2 linked regions of the Mus musculus genome follow. The protein of the gene in region 2 binds, or shares a complex with, the protein of the main gene of each other region. Links are inferred from orthologs where the notes say so. Each region holds a gene or a part of one and is shown on either strand. Other genes may lie near its edges.

Region 1 (4,582 bases), on a different chromosome or scaffold from region 2:
GTCACGTAGGTAAGTCTGTGTCCTCCAAGTATGAAGGCTTTCACCTTGGCCGTCCTCAACATATTCCCAGAAGACCCTCTTCACCCAAGGCATTCTCCAGGCTGGCCCCAAAAGGATACATCCATGACGGCCACCATGCTCCGACAAGTGTCAATGCCAAAACCATCAGTTTTCAGATCCGGGTCTGAGGGGGGAACAGGTTGAAGGTCAGAGGTCAGAGACCATCCCAGCCCATATGCCTCTAAACCTTCACCACACTCTGACCCTGGTCACTCACGTCGGGTCACGACCTTGTTGAGGATATTCATGAGTTCTGTGGCGCTGACCTCCATGTCCTGACGGCAGAAGGTAAGTACAGTTCAAGGGAGATGGAAAGGGTCTGGAGACCATAAACCGGGATGGGAACTTCCGGGTTGTCACAGTCAAGTGACAGAGTCAAGCGGTCAGGCAGGATACTTACGTCTCCAGCCAGCTGGACAAAAAGTTTCCTGAACTGACGGACTTCTTCACTCTCGTTGGCCTCAATATTGGAGTAATGACTACGTGGAGGCTGCAGAGAGAGGCGATCTCAGAACAGAGATGGAGAAACAAGTGTCCCAGGGAAAAGTCAGAGAGGGCTGGGCAGTCTGAGGGCCAGGGAACCTGAATTAGGTGTAGCAAGTAGGCGTGGCTGAGACCCAGGGTTTAGCTTAGGGGCCCTCAAAAAAATGACATTATTAACGGCAGGGGGTTTCCTAAGGAAGGAGGGGGAGCCTTATTCATAGGAATGGGGAAGATGAGGCGGGCAACAGGCCTGAGGAGGAAGGGTCTCTAGGTCTGCTTACCGGAGGCTCCGGGTTGTACTGCGCAGCAGCCTCGCTGAGGGGAGACAAGGGGGCTGAGTTAGCGCATGGGGGCAGAGCCTCCAACGGGCGGCAGAACGGTCAGCCAACCCCTGAAACTCCAGCCCTCCTCTTCCTTAAGGGGTTCCCTCCTCCCCTCGTCTACCTCATCGTCCTGACCTGGTCCAATCAAGAGAATGGTCTGACCCCTCCTTTCCCTCCATCGGGCCAACCTCTCCCACCTCCCAAGGGCCCACCCCACGGAAGAATCCTTTCCTTGCCCAGGAACACCCACCAATCACAATGTCAGAAGCATCTTAGCCCCAATCAAAATCCTGAAAACCTTAACAAACTTAGCAGGGCCCGCCCCTTGAAGAACTCACTTCACAAGGGGGTCTGTCTGCACCAGCTTTCCTAGGCCTCATCTTCCTCGGGTTCAGTTGTCCAGAGTCTTACTCCATCGCTCCTTTTGCAGATTATCTAACTGCCTAACGTCTACCTCTCCCGCCCCCCATCAGCCCCTACTCCTCCCAGGGATCAGTGCTTGGATCACCAACGATATAGGTGCCAGCCACCTGTTCTAACCCCAGCAAAGGATTTTTACCCACTAAACCAATCAGCTCCAGACCCCACACAACCTTCTCTGGACCATTTCTTCTTTGGGGACTCTGATCTCTCCTAAAACAGCAAGCTCCACCTCGCTCAAATCTTAAGCCATGGACAGCCTTAGATCCACTGGCTGCGCCCCCAGTGAAGGCTGGATACAATCCTATAGAATTGCACCTTCCCCAAACACAGAAGAGCCCCTATCCCCAAGAAACTGCATCCTATTTGTTGACCCACAGAAGCAGGTTTACTAATCCTGGTACTAAAAAGTGACACCAGCCTCGCTAGAATCCCCTTAGGGCCAGTTTTCCGGTATGGATCAGCCCAGACTAATTAAGAATTCTCAGGTCGGACTCTAAGTGAGTCTTTATTATTTGGCCCGCCCCGCCCCTTCAGGCCCCGCCTTACCTGATGGCGCTAATGACTCCGCCCAGGATGCGCATGGCAGTTCCACCGCCTCCGCCACCTCCTCCCAGTCCCATGCCTCCACCGCCACCGCCGCCGCCGCCAGCAGCTCCGCTGATCAGGCCTCCGAGCACATTCCCCAGGCCCCCGCCCAGACCCCCGCCTCCCCCACCGCCACCGCCGCCCTTCAAGAACGAATTCACCAAGAACATGATCGCAGCTGAGTCCTGTAAAGTAAAAGGGGTGGGTCGGGTAGTGGCCTTGCCAGGAGCCCAGCCCTTCCCGCAAAAAAAAAAAAAAAAAAAAAAAAAAAAGCAAGCATTTCCGGCAACTAGATTGGGGAGGAAACTAAGGCCTCGAGATGGGGACAGAGCCTCTAGCTAGGGGTCTGGACAGGTGATAGGAGATGTGAAACCTCCTAGGGTCTAGAAAGTACCCTGGCCCAGGCTTGACTGCATATATATAGGCATGAGGACAGGGGTACAGCTGGGCGTGCGTGGTAGCGCTCTACTGTAATCCCAGAAATTGGGAGGCTGAGGCTGGAGGACCAGTTCAAGGCCAGCCTCGGCTACAGCGCCTGCCTGCTTTACCCTGTCTTGAGGCAGCGGGAAAACAGGGGATTCTCGTGTAGAAACCCTAAGGTGTGTAAAACCGAACGTGTCTCAGATCCAGGCCTTCCAAAATTAAGCTCAGGGTAGGGATGACCCAGGGCTGACCAGGAAGTTCCTAATGTGGATTAAGACATTCAGATACTCTCGACAGAGGGACTACACTGTCACTACGGGATCTGTGGGCTCCGGCCAAAAATTATGGCTGTGCGCCCGGAGGATCCTGGATAACGGAGTTCTTCCCACCGCAAATGGGAACCACGATCTCGGATTGTGGTTCTAGACGCCCAAAATAATTTCCGGGTATCTCTCTGATCTTTGGGCTTATATTTTTTGGTCGTCAGATCCGGGATGGTAAGGAGTGTTCTGGAGGGGCTGACAGGCCCGATGGTTCGAATCTGAGAACACCGGTCCTAGGACCCCCCAAGGGCCAAGACTTTAGGGTCTCGCCAGATCTGAGGACTACGGATTCCGGATCTACAGGGTGCAGGGGTGCTGGACTGGAGTGTCCCGTCTCACTTACGGATCCGGCGGTCCGCGGTCTTGCTCGCCTGCTGCAGGGCCTCCGCTGTGTCCGGTTCGGGAGGGCGGGGCCGGTGACTCAGGCAGCTACTCCGGGTTAGACCCTGCCGCCACCCAGCCGTCGTCTGCGCGGTCCTAGAGCCTCCATTGCAGACTGCGCCTGCGCGGGAGGGTTATGGTTGCAAGTCTCTGCTTAGCTCATCCGTCCCCATACACACACTGCTGGAAATTCAACGCTGTCCAGATTAAATAGCTTTGAGTACGAATAAATTATTCTAACGCCCAGGTACTGGAGCCTCCAGGAACTAGATACAGGGTACCCGGTCACCGTTGCAGTATATAGTTGCAAAAAAGGACTTCAGTTGTCATTCATTCATTCATTCATTGTGCACTTTGAGACAGAGGTTTGTTAAACATCCTCTAAATGATGACCTAAAGCCCTAGCTAACCTCGAACTTGAAACAATCCTCCTGCTTCTGTTTCCCGAATGCTAGGAATCTACATCTTAAGTTTACCATCAGTTTGTGCCTCTCACCCAGGTCGCTGTTGGGCTTCTAGTCTGGCTGTCTGGCCACTCCCTAGGAACTATATAAACCTCGGTTTGAGTCTTTATTGCTCATCCCTAAAACAGTGACCTGGTGTCTCTGAGTAATGACCTCCTCATGTGTAAGGCGGGAACATAGCCAGGCGTGATGACACACACCTGTAAAACCAGCACTGGGAGGTGAGGGCAGGCAGCCATTCTCAGTACATAACAAGTTTGTGACCGGCTTGGGCTACATGAGACCCTAGAGGACACTAGGGTAAGCCCCTATCAGAATTAAGTGATAAATACATAGTAAATGGCAGCTCTTCTGTTAGTCCCTATGTCGCCATGTTGTTCCCTCAGCTGGGAGCTCACCTGGTTCCCTTAGCTCGTTTACTCTTGCTCATCCTTAAACAACATCGACAAATACCTGCCGGTCCCTAAATACTCTCCACTCACTAGGTTGTGTGTCCTCGAAGCAGGCCTGTGGGATAGGTCTGTTATTGTCCCCATTCTATGTATAAGTAAACTGAGGTTAAACAACCAGTCTGCTTTACCTGTTCAAAGAATCTCCGATAACTTAATATGATAATCAGTCAAATAAGATCTCAGCAGACAAGACCGTAATTGCACTAACGCCACCTAAGGGCTTGCTGGGACCAGGCCAGGTAATCATTGCTCAAACCTGTGTGTGTGTGTGTGTGTGTGTGTGTGTGTGTGTGTGTGTGTGTGTGTGTGAAGCAAGATTTAACCTGTCGAAACCGGAAACTCTAAAAGGCGGGAGCACAGAGGGTGGCGACCCAGGCCTAAGCCTTAGCGGATAAATCATTTGGTGATGACTAATGTGGATTCCCTCTCTGCCACACCCCTCCCTGCCACACTGAGCAGTCTGACCTCAGGCTCAACTCGCTGGCATAAGCCCTGTCCTCTGCCTACAAATACTCCTGTGTTTGGACTTGACTGTCTGTGTCCTCCACTTTGGACCAGAGCTCAGACATCTCTCATTTGGGAAGACCTCTTTGTCCTCACATCCACCCAAGGCTTGAAGAGGCTGCCAGCTTCATGCCCTCAGACCAACAGTAAACATGATGACA
Region 2 (3,814 bases):
TACCCAGTGCCTCAAGGTAGGTAGAATACATTGGGTCCTGGAAGAAAATCATACATAAAGACATATTATACAGTTAATCTAATGAGACTATTAAGTGAAGCCAAAGTACTATTCCAGTATTGATTTTTCTGTATCTATTGAGATGAAAATAAATCATTTAGAAGCTAAAATCTATCCTTAAAGTTCTACTTGCATACTAACAATTATTTAATTAGCTTTAGAGATAGCATCTGCACTTTAAGTCTATCATCTCTATCATTTTCTATTGAATTACCTTTTCTCAGTATTTTTTTATTTTTCATAAACTGTAGAAGTAAATGCTTTGTAACTTTAAAAAATATTTTCATTTATCCTGTGGTTTATTTTTAATACTGTGGTACATGTAATTTTATCACTGAATTCAAGCTGAAGAGGAGACTATATATATATGTGTGTATATATATATATTTTTTTTGTTGTTGTTGTTTTCAAGACAGGGTTTCTCTGTGTAGTCCTGGCTGTCCTGGAACTCACTTTGTAGACCAGGCTGGCCTCGAACTCAGAAATCCTCCTGCCTCTGCCTCCCAAGTGCTGAGATTAAAGGCGTGCACCACCACCACCCGGCTGAGAATATTTTAATATTTAAAAATATTGCAAATGTAGAAATGTATAAGCAAAATATATTATAACTTTGCATGTTTTCAAAAGCTATATAAATAGTATCATTTTGTTGCTCTTGTTTATTTTATTCAAAATCATGGCTTTGTAATAGATCCATGTAGATACATAAGTAAGCCATTTTCCTTTCAGAAAGCACTGAAAGCTCCCTATTTTCTATTGATCACATTCCTATTTTCTATTGATCACATTGGTCTCAAGTGTTCTGCCATATCCTTCGCTGTACACAGGGGCAAGATTTCCAAAGTCTCGCTGGTGGGGTTTGTGACTGAACGGAACACCTCTTTAGAACCTAATGCCTAAATTGACCTGTCAGATTCTTAAAGTTTTGGCAGTCTGGTTGAGCCAAAGGCACCACGCCATGCTTTATGCTATTTTCCTAATTCCCTGGTAGACCCTTACACTATTTGCTCATTGTGCAAGCAACTTTCTCTTAATTTTCTACTGAGTTGTCTTTGTCTCTGTTTTTCTATTTATTGTAAACTATAGAAACAACTTTAATGGCAACTGTTGAAAATGTTTTCATCTATGCTACAACATCTTTAACACCAGAAAAAAAATTACATTGTTCCTTGGAAATGAAGAATAGATTAACTTAGGATCATAAGGATCTAAAACTCAAAATAAGTTCAAGTCCACTGCGTCAAATCTAAAGGACAGAAAACTAGATGTTCTGACCGAGTCAGCTGTTCCAGTTTAGCATTGTCAGACATATTCTGAATCATAGCAACTGTGTAGTGTCACAAAGCAGACCATTTCCACCCTCACCCCCGAGTTTTTGTTTCTAATATCAATTCTGACATCATCCTGCGTCTACATAATCAACAGAACATGACATGCAGTCCTATGCTTGATACCATAGGTTTATTTGCTTTCCTCCCCATTAACAATGAATGCTGACTGTCATCCAACACATACCAAAACTACTGGTCCAGTATATGGTGGATCATCTCTGTTAGTATCTTCATGTCCACCTAAGGTGTCTATCAGGTCATCCAAGGCAGCATCCATGCCTGACTAGAAATAGAAGAGATAAGATATGTTATTTTGTAGATATATTTCCCGTGATTTGTAACTACTAAAATGTATCAAATACTGTAACTTTTCCAAGTTCAAAAATAGTTAAACTGTATTTCATTTTTAATATGAAGAAATTCTCAATTGGAAAAATAAAAAGCCACATTCAGGTAAAGATCACCATTTAAAAAAATTCCACATTATTAACTACAGCAACAAATGTAGTAGTTCACAAAAGCAACCAAACCACTGTACTGACAGTCAAGAGGAAAAAGACAAAAAAAATGCAAGGATTAGCCATGTGGCACTTGTTGCTTTTTAGTATCACCCATAGTTTCATTCTAGCAAAATCTGTAGACAGTACTTCCTTCAAAAAGAAGCTATTGTTTTTTTTTTTAATTCTTGTATTTTTCCATTCTTTAATGAACATTGTTGTTGTTCATTGACTTGCTCAAAGACAACCCTGAAGAGATATTATGTGAGGTCAACCCTAAAGACATATGAATTGCCAGTTTAGTTTGCCAACATATACTTAACATATTAATGAGAAGTTGCTGTCACCTTATTCTGTAGTTTTGGATAGCTCACTCGGAACAGGCTCCTAACATGGAAAACAGCCACTGTCTTCTCACCTTGGGCATCTTTTCTGCTGTTTCCAATAGCACAGACTCTGTATGTTCCTGACTTATGACCTGTACGGCACTTACTCCACACGTCAAAGTGTCACTGAATATGTCTGACGGTTTCCTTTAAGAATTACCACACTGTATATGCCCCAGTACAGGGGAACGCCAGGGCCAAAAAAAATGGGAATGGGTGGGTAGGGAAGTGGGTTGGGGAGGGTATGGGGGACTTTTGGGATAGCATTGGAAATGTAATTGAGGAAAATATGTAATAATAAAAAAAAAAGAATTACCACAATCCTACAATAGTTTTAGGATTTAGCGGATTACTGATAGGTGTAACAGAAACTAGGGCACATTTGCTTTGGCTACTCTTCCCCTTCTTATTATTATTGTGGTTTCTTGTGGAAGAGGGGATAGATTTTTTTTTAAAGTACCTTATATTCTTTACCAATAGAGAGGTAATACAGAATACTTAGACAACCCTTGATGTCCCCACTCTAAAACCAAGAGACTTGCCAAGCCTCAAGAAACCTTGCACGTTGCTAACAAACACATATTTCCAGAAGAGAAGCTATAACTGAACTTGGTATAATAAAACTAGAATTTTCAAAATAGAGGCTCGTACCATAAAATGGTACGAATACAGAGTGATGGCCACACTGTCAACTCAGTCATAACTTTTTAAATTTTAAGTCATTACATTTTTCCTTTAAAACAACGAGAAATCAGGCTGAGACAGGCAACAGGAGATAAATGTTTGATGATGAAGTGCCTTTTGGCTCCATACCTTGTCAGATGGCTTGCTCGGTGTGGACTGCACAGGTGAAGCTGGTGTGAATGGTTTCTGTTCTTTTTTCTAGAGGGAGTTTAAAAGGACTTTAAAACTTTTCATACACCTTTATGAAACAGCATTATGACACACACATTCAAGATGAACTATTCATGTATTAATAGCCTAGATCATGTACTAGTCCCATGATCAACTGTGGACGGTAATGGCAAATGCTTCAAAACTACTACATACATTAAGCCTGTTTAGTGACAGGAAAGAGAAGCTTAGAGAGATCCGGCTCATGGAGGAAAATAAAGTGATAGATTGGTTTAAGTACATAATAAGTCCAAGGAAAGATATGAAGAAGGCAATTAAAATGTTGTTTGGTATATGGAAAAGATGGAGGTTGAAGAGAAGGGAGAAGAGGGGAGGGAAGGGAGGCAGAAGAGGCTAGGAAGGGAAAGATGGAGAGGAGAATAGGAAGGAAAGTAGTGGAGATGAGGTGACTCCCTGGGTTACAGAGGAAGGGATAAAACCCTGATCTGCACCAGGATTGCCTGGCCACCATACTTGTCCCGGGCCTTGAAAGCCTACAAGTTGTTTCTGAGGTAGCTTCTGTTCCCTGCGTCTTTGTTTCTGCTCACCAGGACAACTGTGTCACTTGCCTTGGTAGCTCATTGTTCTTTCCTTGATTCTTCTCATATATTTTCTCCTTTGGCTATAAATTACGGCAGTTCCTGCA

What was found.
Region 1: the proteins of Cast (region 2) and Capns1 are in contact, whole or in part, in a crystal structure (PDB 3BOW), measured with the Rattus norvegicus proteins. The link is inferred for Mus musculus from reciprocal best matches to the Homo sapiens genes CAST and CAPNS1. Residues at the interface, in NP_445747.2 of Rattus norvegicus: Pro652, Ile653, Asp654, Ala655, Leu656, Ser657, Asp659, Leu660, Asp661; in NP_058814.1 of Rattus norvegicus: Phe103, Leu106, Gln109, Leu110, Ile125, Lys128, Val129, Arg132, His133, Leu136, Phe166, Trp170, Lys174, Gln177, Lys181.

Annotation. Positions count from the first base shown.
Region 1 is NC_000073.6:30,192,043-30,196,624, forward strand, and holds the start of Capns1 (calpain small subunit 1), read right to left. Parts: upstream 3,112-4,582; 5' UTR 2,964-3,111; intron 2,060-2,963; 5' UTR 2,045-2,059; coding exon 1,836-2,044; intron 1,707-1,835; exon of another isoform or gene 1,205-1,706; intron 1,159-1,204; exon of another isoform or gene 1,046-1,158; coding exon of another isoform or gene 1,002-1,045; intron 859-1,001; coding exon 825-858; intron 551-824; coding exon 461-550; intron 336-460; coding exon 278-335; intron 185-277; coding exon 120-184; intron 1-119. UniProt on the Homo sapiens protein: Regulatory subunit of the calcium-regulated non-lysosomal thiol-protease which catalyzes limited proteolysis of substrates involved in cytoskeletal remodeling and signal transduction. Essential for embryonic development.
Region 2 is NC_000079.6:74,738,262-74,742,075, forward strand, and holds part of Cast (calpastatin), read right to left. Parts: intron 3,157-3,814; coding exon 3,088-3,156; intron 1,675-3,087; coding exon 1,576-1,674; intron 38-1,575; coding exon 1-37.